3 linked regions of the Cricetulus griseus genome follow. The protein of the gene in region 3 interacts with the protein of the main gene of each other region in a biochemical or structural test. Links are inferred from orthologs where the notes say so. Each region holds a gene or a part of one and is shown on either strand. Other genes may lie near its edges.

What was found.
Region 1: the proteins of Ctsb (region 3) and Csta form a complex in vitro, tested with the Homo sapiens proteins (3 studies listed by BioGRID and IntAct, with this or other methods). The link is inferred for Cricetulus griseus from reciprocal best matches to the Homo sapiens genes CTSB and CSTA.
Region 2: the proteins of Ctsb (region 3) and Cstb form a complex in vitro, tested with the Homo sapiens proteins (2 studies listed by BioGRID). The link is inferred for Cricetulus griseus from reciprocal best matches to the Homo sapiens genes CTSB and CSTB.

What each region holds. Positions count from the first base shown.
Region 1 is NC_048597.1:53,561,933-53,566,177, forward strand, and holds the start of Csta (cystatin-A), read left to right. Parts: upstream 1-1,313; coding exon 1,314-1,379; intron 1,380-4,245. UniProt on the Homo sapiens protein: This is an intracellular thiol proteinase inhibitor. Has an important role in desmosome-mediated cell-cell adhesion in the lower levels of the epidermis.
Region 2 is NW_023276806.1:260,435,027-260,439,094, reverse strand, and holds Cstb (cystatin-B), read left to right. Parts: upstream 1-1,285; 5' UTR 1,286-1,390; coding exon 1,391-1,456; intron 1,457-2,681; coding exon 2,682-2,783; intron 2,784-3,230; coding exon 3,231-3,359; 3' UTR 3,360-3,565; downstream 3,566-4,068. UniProt on the Homo sapiens protein: This is an intracellular thiol proteinase inhibitor. Tightly binding reversible inhibitor of cathepsins L, H and B.
Region 3 is NW_023276807.1:218,172,723-218,176,370, reverse strand, and holds part of Ctsb (cathepsin B), read right to left. Parts: coding exon 3,601-3,648; intron 2,878-3,600; coding exon 2,759-2,877; intron 401-2,758; coding exon 315-400; intron 65-314; coding exon 1-64. UniProt on the Homo sapiens protein: Thiol protease which is believed to participate in intracellular degradation and turnover of proteins. Cleaves matrix extracellular phosphoglycoprotein MEPE. Involved in the solubilization of cross-linked TG/thyroglobulin in the thyroid follicle lumen.

The sequences.
Region 1 (4,245 bases), on a different chromosome or scaffold from region 3:
CATCTGTAACTCCATCTCCAGGGATCTGACACCTCTGGACTCCCTACACACACACACACACACACACACACACAGAGAGAGAGAGAGAGAGAGAGAGAGAGAGAGAGAGACAGAGACAGAGACAGAGACAGAGACAGAGACAGACAGAAACAATAGTATAACAGAATATGTGGTTATATATGATTTAATAAAAATTAAACTGTAAAACTTGGCTACAAATTATTAAAATGGGCTACAGGGTTAACAAACTCATGGTATAACTCTGTGGATGACATGGTTGGGTGGGGGCTTCCTCCATAGGTGATATTAATCTCAGCATGCAGAAGAAACTGGACCTGAAGTCCAGCCTGGGCTACTTAATAAATTCTAGGCCAGCTTGAATTAAAAAGAAGGAAGGAAGGAAGGAAAGAAGGAAGGAAGGAAGGAAGGAAGGAAGGAAGGAAGGAAGGAAGACAATAAAAGAAACTACAAAAAGGAGCATGAAGCAAATAACAAAAAATAACAAAACAAAAGCAAATACTAAATGACAGAAATCAGGCTATCTTGGGCTGGGCACATAGATCAACTGGAAGATGACATAGCTGGCACCCAAAAAAGCCCTGGATTTAATCACCAGCACCACATAAACTGGACATGGTACATGCCTGCAATTCCAGACTCTGCAGGTAGAGGCAAGAGAACTGGAAGTTCAAGGTTCATAGTGATTTCAAGACCAGCCCAGGATAAATGAAATCCCTTCAAACACACACACGAATCAACAGCAAAATAAAAAAATAAAGATGTTTGTTATTTTATTTTTTGTGTTTGGGGATAAGCATAAGCATTTCAGAAACTAAAAGTCCTCCAGACAGACAGTTTTGCTGTCTTTATAAAGTTAGGTGAATTCTAAGCAACCAGACTTGACATTATTAAGTATCCTCTTAAAAGAACTCTTGAGGTTTAACTTATTTGGCAACTCTGGTTGCATGTGTGTCGCTCCTCATATGATACAACAGGATGAAAAAAAAATTGGCACAGAGAGCAGGGAGGAACCTATACTAACCACGCCTAAAATCTGGGCACACCCACTTGCTCACACCCCCCCCACCTTATCACCTTATCGTTGTCCCCCTTCCCCATCTCTATTCAGCATTTCCTCTAAGGGAGGTGATAAGACTTGCCTGAGGCCACACTCATTTCCCAGTCCCTCAGCTATTGTGGAAGTTAATACATTATATAGGAGGAGTTTATTGGCTCCTTTAAAACCCTGAGTCTCCGTGCTCCCTGATCATTCCCTCTCAGCATCCTGCCCAGCAAAGAAACAACTCACCAGAATGATCCCAGGAGGCTTGACTGAGGCCAGGCCTGCCACACCAGAAGTTCAGGAGATTGCCGACCAGGTAAGTTGGGGCATTTCAGGGAAAAGTTTGATCCCAAATCAAACTTTTGTCATTTGGTTCAAAATTTGGCTCTGTGTTAAGAGTGTGGGAAATCACAGAAACCAGAAATGTATGGGTTTTAATTCAGACTTTTGTGTAGCTAAAGATGGAACATTAAGACTTTTCAGGGAAATGTCAACCTTCCAAAAGTAAACTTGGACAAGTCACACTACAGCTTCAGTTTCCCCATTAACTGAAGGTGAATTTGTAAAAATAGTCTCTAAACCTTTTACGTACAAGTGTGATCTCAGGACTAACTGAAGCCAAGGTGTGAGGCACCTAAGGTTGTTAAGGATTCCTGAGAGGATTCCCAGGGTGCTGTGCGCACCACACCTTTACAGTCAAAATAGAACCCGATGTTTTTAGCAAGTTCATGCACCTTGCTTAACTATCATCTATATAATAAAAATGTGTTGTGTTGCATGTTTTATAAAAGAGAAATGCATGCAAATTATGGTTGTAGGTTTGCAATCTGTCACCTTATTTCCTTACATCATTTTGTTTTCCTCCCTGAACCGTCATCCTGGCAGACAAGATCAGTTTTGTTGTTGTTTGCTTGCCTGTTTGTTTGAGACGTGGTCTTGCTATGTCCTGATTGGTCTAGTACTTAAGTAACCCGACTGGCTTCAAACTCACAGCACTTCTCCTGCCTCAACTTCCTAAGCATCACCATACTAGGTATCATCAGCTTTTATGTGAGTAGAAGAGGTGGGAGGGAGCCTTCATGTTTAGAACACTGAACATTCTAGAGGAGATCATGGGCCTAAAATTCAATGGCTAAATATTTAAAGCTAAATAGTTCTCACTCATAGCTTTATGTCAATAAATACACTTGGAGCATTTTATTTTTGAAGAAGATAATGCTGAATCTTTATACCTTCATTAGAATCTTCACATCAAGTCTTGTGTTCTCAGACTTGAATGTGCACGTGAGTCACTTGTCGCTCTAGATAAAATGAAGACCTGACTGGAGAGGGCTGGACAGGCCTGCAAGTCCGCATTCTCCCAGGCTCTCAGGAGCTACGGCTGCTTCCTCCCTACAGCTTCACTTTCCTGTAGGACAACATATTTGGCATCCTAGGAGACCTGTGAGATGAATTCCAAGGAAAGGTTCTCCATTTCATTTGTAAGAAGAAAGAGCTAAAATAATGAACATAAAAATTGTTTCAAAAGCAAATATCACAGATGAGGCATCATTGCTGTGTATGTCACCTGAAAAAATCCCCCAGCCTAAAAAATCCCCTAAGATGTTCCAGGAACCAGAGCTATGGGGAATAGATAGGGAAATACAGCTATTTGAAATATAGAAGATACAGAAGATTTTAATGATTTTTTTTAATAGTTGATCACTTGGTTAGCTTGAACAATTATTCTTTTTTGAAAAGTTTGGGGGGGGGGTCTTGCTGTTTCTCAGAGTGGTCCTCGCAACCTGATAGGCTCAAGTAATCCTCTTGCTTCTAGTCTCCCAAGTACCTGGGACTACAGGAGTGTGTTATCCTGCCTGGCTAGGATAGTTTTAAGTATATTTTTACTAGTTCTTTGAGAATTTCATATATACATGCAGTGTATCTTGATCATATAATTTTTCCAAGTTAGGAAGCTACCAGAAGGGCTTACCTTGCTAATAACACCATCTGTGGACCACATCTTCGGTGATAAACTTAATTTAGAAGTGTGTTCTTGCACCTTCAGAGAAGTACAATGGGAAATAGATTTTAACAAGGCCACCTCACCCCAGGAAGGAGTTGTAAAAGCCTTGACTTCCATTCCACCTCCCATTTGATCTTCAAAGCCCTAGGGCAGGCAAGGCATTACATCCCATTTTTAGATGATGAAACCAAGACTCAAAATGCTTGAGAGTCAGTCACCCAGTTAAAAAATTTATCTGTCCTTTCCACTGCATGGCCTCAACACACTGGGGAGCTTTTGCAGGTCTGAGGGGAGAGAATGCCACAAACCTGCCTTCTCCATGCAATCCGTGGCCGCGGGTTTAAACCACAATTCACATTGCATAGGCATCAACCATTTCATGGTAGGGGCACTTCCTGAGTCTCTCCTAGGTGTCTAGCATAAGGCTACAAACTGTCGAAGCTACATAAATGGCTATAAGACCCACTGCTCCTGAAAAATTAACAGTATAGAGGAAGTCAAGATATCTAGAGCATATTATAAAATAAAACTTAATTAAGTGCTCTTTCATAATCATAGGTTTAAGACCAAAAAGGCCATTAGGCATGGCTGTCAAACACTTTACTGTAAGGTGAACAAGTACAGTGTGGTGGCTCAGCTCCCAGACATCACTCATCTGTCCTCTCTTGCAGGAGACAGCCTTAGGGAACATTTCCAAGTTAAGGGTTGGGAGGCAGAGACACAGCAGTAAACTGTATATTTTAGGAAGCATTTTCTCAGTCCCATCAATCATTCCCCATCCTCCAAAGAACCCCTCAAGCAGATACTACTGAAATCCTTGTTAAGTCAGGAAATTGAATCAACTCCTCCTAGATTGTAGTTTGGGGGGGGGCCCACACAGTGTCAGGCCAGAGAGGGTTATTGCATCCCTAGAATGATTTGTGGGGTCAAAGAGAAAATCTCCACGACCTGTCATGGAGATATATATTTTATTTTATATATATATATTATATATAATATATATATATATATATATATATATTAAAATCCCCTGTTAAATGTCTTAGGAGAGACAACTCTTGGCTATCTCTGCCCTTTGCAGAGAACTCGGTAATAGAGGGACAATGGAAGGAAGACCCTAGTAGAGAGGAAGGAGAGGAGGGAAGAGGAAAGTACCACGGAGAAGTGGTACCAGCAT
Region 2 (4,068 bases), on a different chromosome or scaffold from region 3:
AAAGAGTTACAGATGGTTGTGAGCTACTATGTGGGTTCTGGGAACTGAACGACACCTAGAAGAGCAGCCAGTGTTCCTTACTCCAGTCTCCCATTCAACTCTTTAACTGGGTTCTGAGGATCAAATTCAGGTTGTGACACTTGCATGGCAGGCACTTTACAATGAGCTATCAATGCAGCCCCAAATTCTTAATTTTTTAAGACAAGGGCTCACTAGGCCAGCTTGCTTAGCCTCTCAAGAGCTGGGATAGAAAGTGTGCACTGTCACATCCAGCTATCAAATTCTGGTATTTTGGTCGATGGAAAAACAAACACTAGAGGGATTGGGACTGAAGGTCATGTTAGACCCTAAGTTAACCTGTAAACCCCACCTGCCCAAGAACCAGTTAACTTCCCGGAATGCTTCCTGGAATAACTTCCTGGAGTTGTAGTTCTTGAAAACAAAGTCTCATGGCAAAGTACCGTGGCCTTTGAGTTTTGTCTTTATAAGCTCTGTCAATGTCAACATGTGTCTTCAGGTGGTGGTCCCGAACAAATTCCATCTTGGTCAGTATTAACCCTTTAATAAAAGCTTGCTTTAGTTCGGTCAAAATGGTGTAACTGTTTTTTCTCTGGTGTGAATCTCAGGATTAACAGTCACTCAAACAAGACCACTGACAGAGGGCATGCATATCGGGGGTCCTCACGGTTCCCAGCCTGTACTGGGTATGAGAGAGTGGGGTCCGGACCTCCCCATTATGTGCCCGATGGTGGGACTGGGATACCCAAGCCCTTACAGCCCAACAAACCTAAGTATGTCCACACCCATTTCATTCAGGAAGAATGGATTTCCCAGATCAGATCATGGGGGATCCCCATAGGCTCTTATTTTATGGGGTTACCAGGACCCACAAACTCAGGACACCAGGGGAGAACTGGGACTTTAAGTCATCGTTCATCTCTATTTTTGTGCCCACCCCATGGAAGGGGGGCTAGGGACCCACCCAGCCCCCTCTTTATGTCCACAGGGCAAGGGGGAATTGAGATGGCCATGGAAAGAATGAGGGTTCGGATGCTCCAGTCACTCCGCACTACTGAGGGGCGATCACCACTCCCAGCCTTCTACCCCCACTTAGTGCCCATCCGGGGAAGGGGCCTGAGGTATCCACTGGGCTGCACTCTCCGCCCACGCCCAGCCTGGATCTCAAGACTGCCTAAGATGTAGGAGTGAGGACATTGGAGAGAGGGAGGGAGGGTGCGGCGCCCCGCCCCGCCCCGTCCCGTCGCTTTGTCACGTGCCACGCGCCCGGGGGCGGAGCCGAGTCAGGTTCTTCTAGGGTCCCGGCACAGAAGCCTCCCCGCTGTTTCCGTCCTTATCTCCTGTCCGTGCCCCCAGGTCCACCGCAGCCAAGATGATGTGTGGAGCGCCGTCCGCCACGCAGCCGGCCACGGCCGAGACGCAGGAGATCTCCGACACGGTGAGCTAGGCCCAGGACAAGAGCCAGCAAGAGCCAGGCCCTCGGGGACCCGGCGGCCTAAGGGTCCGGCATGCCCAAACCCGCCCGGGTCCTGTAGCAGGATGCGGGCGCGGTCCCATTTGCGCCTGGGAGCTGGGACTCTGGGCCTGGTTGGAGGATTCAGAAACCGGGACTGGGTCGTGTCTGCGAGAGGACCGCCCACCTCCTAGGAAACTAGGAAATCGAGGTCGGCGGAGGGGTGAGACGTCCCATAAGAGTTCAGGAAGGAGGCTCACACTGCTAGAGCCCAGGGGTAAAATCAGGCTAGCCCGAAGGTGAGGCACCCTCTGACTTCAACCCAGGCCTAAACAAGAGACTCGATGAAGGCCAGCCTGGGCTACAGTGGGAGTCTCTTTCTCAAAATAAAGACTTAGGAATGTATAGCTCAGTGGCAGGACACACCTTACCCCACTCCCTCCGGGAGAAAGAAAAGTTGAAACCAAAAGTTGCAGAACTTGCTAGTTAGTGCCTAGATTTCCTAGTCTGCAGCCAGAGGATGGACCTGGGTGGGAGTTCCTGGTGCATGATTTCTGAGTCCCGCAGCCCGTCCTGTGGCTGTCTGCAGAGCAGACATGTGCAGGCCAGAGAGGTTCAGGGTGTTAACAAGAGAGGAAAAGTTAAACATGTCCACCCTTCAGCATTCCAGCCACCTCCCAAGTCCAGGGTCCTGTCCACCAAGCTGAGCTGTCCTTGGAATGTTTGTGATCTGACCAAAGTGGCCAGGAAGGAGTGAGTCAGCTCCATGAGACCCTGAAAATGAGGAATTGGTACAGACACAGTTGCCCAGCCCTCCCCTGACAGGCCCAAGCAACCCTTGCCTGTCATCATTCTTACTCAGCCTGGGCAGATTTACACCCCTGACACCGAGCTATGTACACTTAAAGGGAACCCTGGCCAGGTGTAGTGTCTTACACCAGCACTCCAGAGGCAGAGATACGCAAATCTCTCAGAGTTTGAAGCCAGCCTGGTCTACATAATTCCAGGCCAGCCATAGCTGCACAGTGAGACCGTGTCTCAAAAGAGGAGCTGTGATCCCCTTTGTCAGTGCACCCAACAGCTTACCATGTCCCCCACTGTGAGGAACACTAGTGTTGATGGCTGGCGGGGGGTGGGGGGGGGATCCTAAGAGAGGCAGGAAAGCACTTGCCATTGAATCTGAGTCATTCTCTTATCACCCACCATCCAGGTGAAATCCCAGCTTGAAGAGAAAGAGAATCAGAAGTTCACCGTCTTTAAAGCCGTATCCTTCAGGCAACAGGTGGTGGCTGGCATCAACTTCTTTATCAAGGTAGGTATGAGTGTGACCTGGGAAAAACTGAGGAAGGACAGTCTCAGAGGATAGCCAAGTGTTCTGCAACTTCTTCCTTTAGAGGGAACACCCTTTAAGAAGACACATATAGCCGGGCGTTGGTGGCGCATGCCTTTAATCCCAGCACTCGGGAGGCAGAGGCAGGCAGATATCTGTGAGTTTGAGGCCAGCCTGGTTTCCAGAGCGAGGGCCAGGAGAGGCTCCAAAGCTACACAGAGAAACCCTGTGTAGCAAAAAAAAAAAAAAAAAAAGACACATATAGGTTCTGAGACGATGAATTTTGGGTCCTGGAGTTCCTGGTCTTGAAGGAAGAGACAAGCATTTTACTGGCCCAGTTGCTGGTACCCTGAGCTTCTCTAAGGCCAGGCTGAGTCTGGAGCTGGGCACTCACCTTTTGCTACTGGGCCCCTCTTTCTCTCCCTCCAGGTTGATGTTGGTGACGAAAAATTTGTGCACTTGAGGGTGTTCAAGCCCCTTCCCCATGAAAACAAGCCCTTGACCCTGTCTTCCTACCAGATCAACAAAAATCGACATGACGATCTGACCTTCTTCTGATTCTGCAGCCCCTTTGCCAAAAACTTCATCTCTTTATTGTCCTTGGGACCAGGAAGTGAATACCCCTCTGTGATGGAGGGGACAGAATCAGGCACCTTCATTTGTGATTCCCAAACTGCATTGTGTTTGCTTTCTTCCAAATAATTATTTTCAGAAAGCTACATCTGATCTCTCTCTAAATATATATATTTTAAAGTCTATACAAACTGTCTCCTTTGTTTAGAATTTTTCCCTTTATTTAAAAATCATAGTCACCACCAGGCAGTGGTGGCACCTGCCTTTAGTCCCTATACTCAGGAGGCAGAGGCAGGTGGATCTCTGTGAGTTTGAGACCAGCCTGGTCTCCAGAGCAAGTTTCAGGACAGCCAAGGCTACACAGAGAAACCCCGTCTTGAAAAACAAAAACAAAAATTAGAGTCACAACATAGATATTCCAATAAAAGGTAATTGTTTACTTGCTATTTAAATTTTTCTACATTTACTTACCATATATGAATATTTACATACATGCCATGGTGTGCATATGGAGGTCAGAGGACAGTTTGGTGAGTATTGTTTCTACCATATGAATCCCTGGGATTGAACTCAGCTCATCAGGGATGGCAGCCAGTGTCTTTAGCCACTGAACCATTCATAAACTTTTACCAGGCTCTGATTTAATTCCCAACATTGTAAAAACAGTTATTTACAGCTGAAATGACCCAGCTGG
Region 3 (3,648 bases):
GTGCACTGGGGCCGGGAGCCATTGACATGGTGCTCACAGGGAGGTATGGTGTATGGTAAGCAGCCTGACAGGTGGAGGGGACAAAATGACATCAGACCGTATCCCCCAATGCAAGGCTCCCCAGGCCAGTCAGAGCTGGGATGCAGCCAGATCATGTCCACATCCGGTGGCTGCTCCTGTATTGAAGGTGGTCTGGCCAACTATCAATCAGCTGACACTCTACTGTTGACCTTCCCTTTACAATAGAAAAGGAAGCCACAAATACTTGCCCATGAAACCCACCTGAGAGACAGGGGTTGCAGGCATACACTCACCTACATGGGAATTGTAGAGTCCACCAGAAACCAGGCCTTTTTTTATCCAGAAGTTCCATGCTCCAGAGGGATAGCCACCGTTACAGCTGGAAAAGAGCTTCTTTCAATGTTGAGCTAGCTCCAGGTGTTCCCATATAGCACTACAGATTCACCACTGGGAATACACCTTCCTCATAAGAACCCTCCCACAGTCCTATAGCCTAATTCATCTTTACTGTCACCCCACCAGGGACCCAACCCAGCTCCATCTCTGTCTACAAGTGTCCTCCAGGCCACAAGGACTCTCTTTTTCATGTCCATATCAAACTGACCTTCAAAACTCCCCTCTATGGAACAGTGGTTCTCAACTGCACAGTATGTTAAAATTTCCTGAGTATAATAGCCCCCTCCCTGATCTGTAGTTTCATTTCTTTCTTTCTCTTTTTATGAGACAGGGTCTCTCAATGTAGTCCTGGCTGTCCTAGCACTTGTTATGTAGACCAGGCTGAAATCCTCCTGCCTCTGTCATCCGAGTGCTGGGACTAAAGGCATGCACCACCATGCCTGGGTTGTTTGATTTCTGAGGTTTTATCTCAGGTCCAAACATGTTAAGGGGAAAATTCCAAAATTAATTCCTCAATTTTAAATTGCACACTGTTCTTAGTAGCATGATAAAAATCTCACACTTCCTGGTCCATTCAGCAGAGAACTGTATACGCTACTATCTCTAGTCAATTGAGAGCCATCTTGGTTATCAAATCCATATAGCTCTGTGCTGTAGAATATTAGTTGAAGATATGTAACATTCGTTTATGCTGTGGAATATTTGTTTAATGATGCAAAGATGTGTTTCATTCCTTTCTGTTGCATTTATGTAACTCTGTGAAGCTGTGTTACTTTGCCTCCCTAAAACATCTGATTGGTCTAATAAAGAGCTGAATAGCAAATAGTTAGGCAGGAGAGAAAGGATAGGTGGGGTTGCCAGGCAGAGAGAATAAATAGGAGGAATGAGAAAAAAGAGAAGGAGAAGAAGACACCAGGGGCCAGCCACCCTGCCACATAGCCAGCCATGGACTAAGAAGGAAAGAGAAGAAAGGTAAAAAGTCCAGAGGCAAAAGGTAGATGGGATAATTCAAGATAGCAAAGCTGACTACAAACAAGCCAAGCTAAGGCCAGGCATTCAAAAGTAAGAATAAGTCGCCGGGCGTTGGTGGCACACGCCTTTAGTCCCAGCACTCGGGAGGCAGAGGCAGGCGGATCTCTGTGAGTTCGAGACCAGCCTGGTCTACAAGAGCTAGTTCCAGGACAGCCTCCAAAGCCACAGAGAAACCCTGTCTCGAAAAAAAACAAACAAACAAAAAAAAAAAAAAAAAAAAAAGAATAAGTCTCCGTGTATTTATTTGGGAGCTAGGTGGCAAGCCCCTAAAGAGTGAAGAGTAAAAAGCCAACTGCAGAGTAAAAAGCCAACTGCAATTGTGATGCTGCAGTGTGGGTTCAAGTAATCCTTGATGGCCAAGTCTAAGAGCTGTGACGCAGGCAGCTCAGACATGCCAAATGGAAGCTGTAAATGCCTTCATGTGAAAAGGCACAAGTTCTGAAGAGGAAAAGAAAATCATAAACTCAGGTTGCTAAGATCTACGGTAGGAGTGACTCTTCTATGCCTTAAATTATGAAGAAAGGGGGGATTCGTGTTGGTTTCACTGCCACCGGTTGGACTCTAAAGACTTATGGTCACAGTGAATATATGTTCAGCTAAGATGGAAACAGGGCTGTAAAGGGACAGGCAAAATACAGGGTTATGCTCTGGGTTTAAGGCATATACTGGTGCGGTGGGCTCTACTTAGGAGAACCTCTTGCAAAACGGGGTATGGTGTCTTTTCAGCTCCAATGCACTAGGCAGAATATGGAAGTGTGAGGCTCTGCCTGGGGAGAAGTGGGAATCACTTGCCTCCTTCTTCCTGCTGTTCCTACACTATTGGTGTGAGGCCCACACACATTTCTTCTGGAACTCTCAGGAATGTCTAACTGCACCACTGTTATAGACTAAGGGCCAGGCGACCCTGGTAAGCACCTGAGTTACGGACTGAGTTTAGTGTGACCCCACCCTCACCCCCCAAGCTGGGATCTGTCATCCTTATAAAGCGGACCAGTATATTTCCCTGAGTTGGGGGTGTGAGTAGAGGAAGTGATGGGGTACAGTGGGGCATAAGCCAGACAGGGAACAGGAAGCAAGCAAAACTTTTAGAGACCATGTTCTGCCAAGACTCTATCCCCATGAATCTGAGGCCAGCCTGGCCAGCCCGAGAAGCTCCACAGCAGCAGCTACAACAGAGTCTGCCTGCAGACTCCTATGTCTCCCTCTGTCCCAGCCACAGAAACAGCTCTCTTCTCCCCAGGGAGCCCTGAGTTATTCAGTACAAAGGAGGAAGGGCTAGGGTCTCCAGGAAAAGATGCCCAACACTTACCCATCCCCACACTGGCTACCACAGCAGGTAAGCAGGTCCTCAGCAGACACCTCCACATTGACATGGCCATTGGTGTGGATGCAGAGTCGGTCAGACATGGCTCCCACAGCCCCAAATGCCTGGAAAAATAGCAAGTCCCACGTGGTGAGGAACCCACCGTACCTGAAGCAGGGAGGCCATTGGACCTTCTGAGTGGTTAGACCCATTCAATGTCAGGTGAGGCTTCTGGACTCATACTTAACATTAAATGTAAAGAGACCAATCCAAGCCTCTGCCTGGGGACTTGGCTCACAAGGAGCAAATTCCAAGGCAGAGAGCAGAAGAGAGCCACCACGGGCACAGGAGGGCCACAGGGAGTCAGTATGACTGAATTGGTTCATTTGGAAGAGACGAAAGGACTGTGTGGATGGGCAGTAGAGACAGCCACCCAATACTAGGGACATTTTAAATGCCACTGGACTATACACTAGTTAAGAGAGATGAATTTTCTGTCATTTGTATTTTGCTACAATTCAAAAACCACAGAATGGCTCAGTGACACACAGGGAGCACTCATGAAGCTGTGTTGCGTCAGGGCTGCCGTGTTTACTGGGGGAACATGACTCCACAGCTAGTACATGGACCCGGATCTCAGGCCCCTCTGTATGTCTATCATCAGTGTCCACCATCCACTCATCCTTGCAGTAATTCCCAACTACAAGGATCAGAAACTGTAGTGATGGAAAGAAACTGACTTCAAACATTTCCTCACCTACCTTGTCCCATCTGGTCCCTCCCTAGACACTCCAATCACATCCCAGCCAGACTTCTTCAGGAAGCCCTCCCCACCAGCAGGGTCTTACCCAACAAGAGCCGCAGGACCCCTGGTCTCTAATCTGTTTGATAGTTGG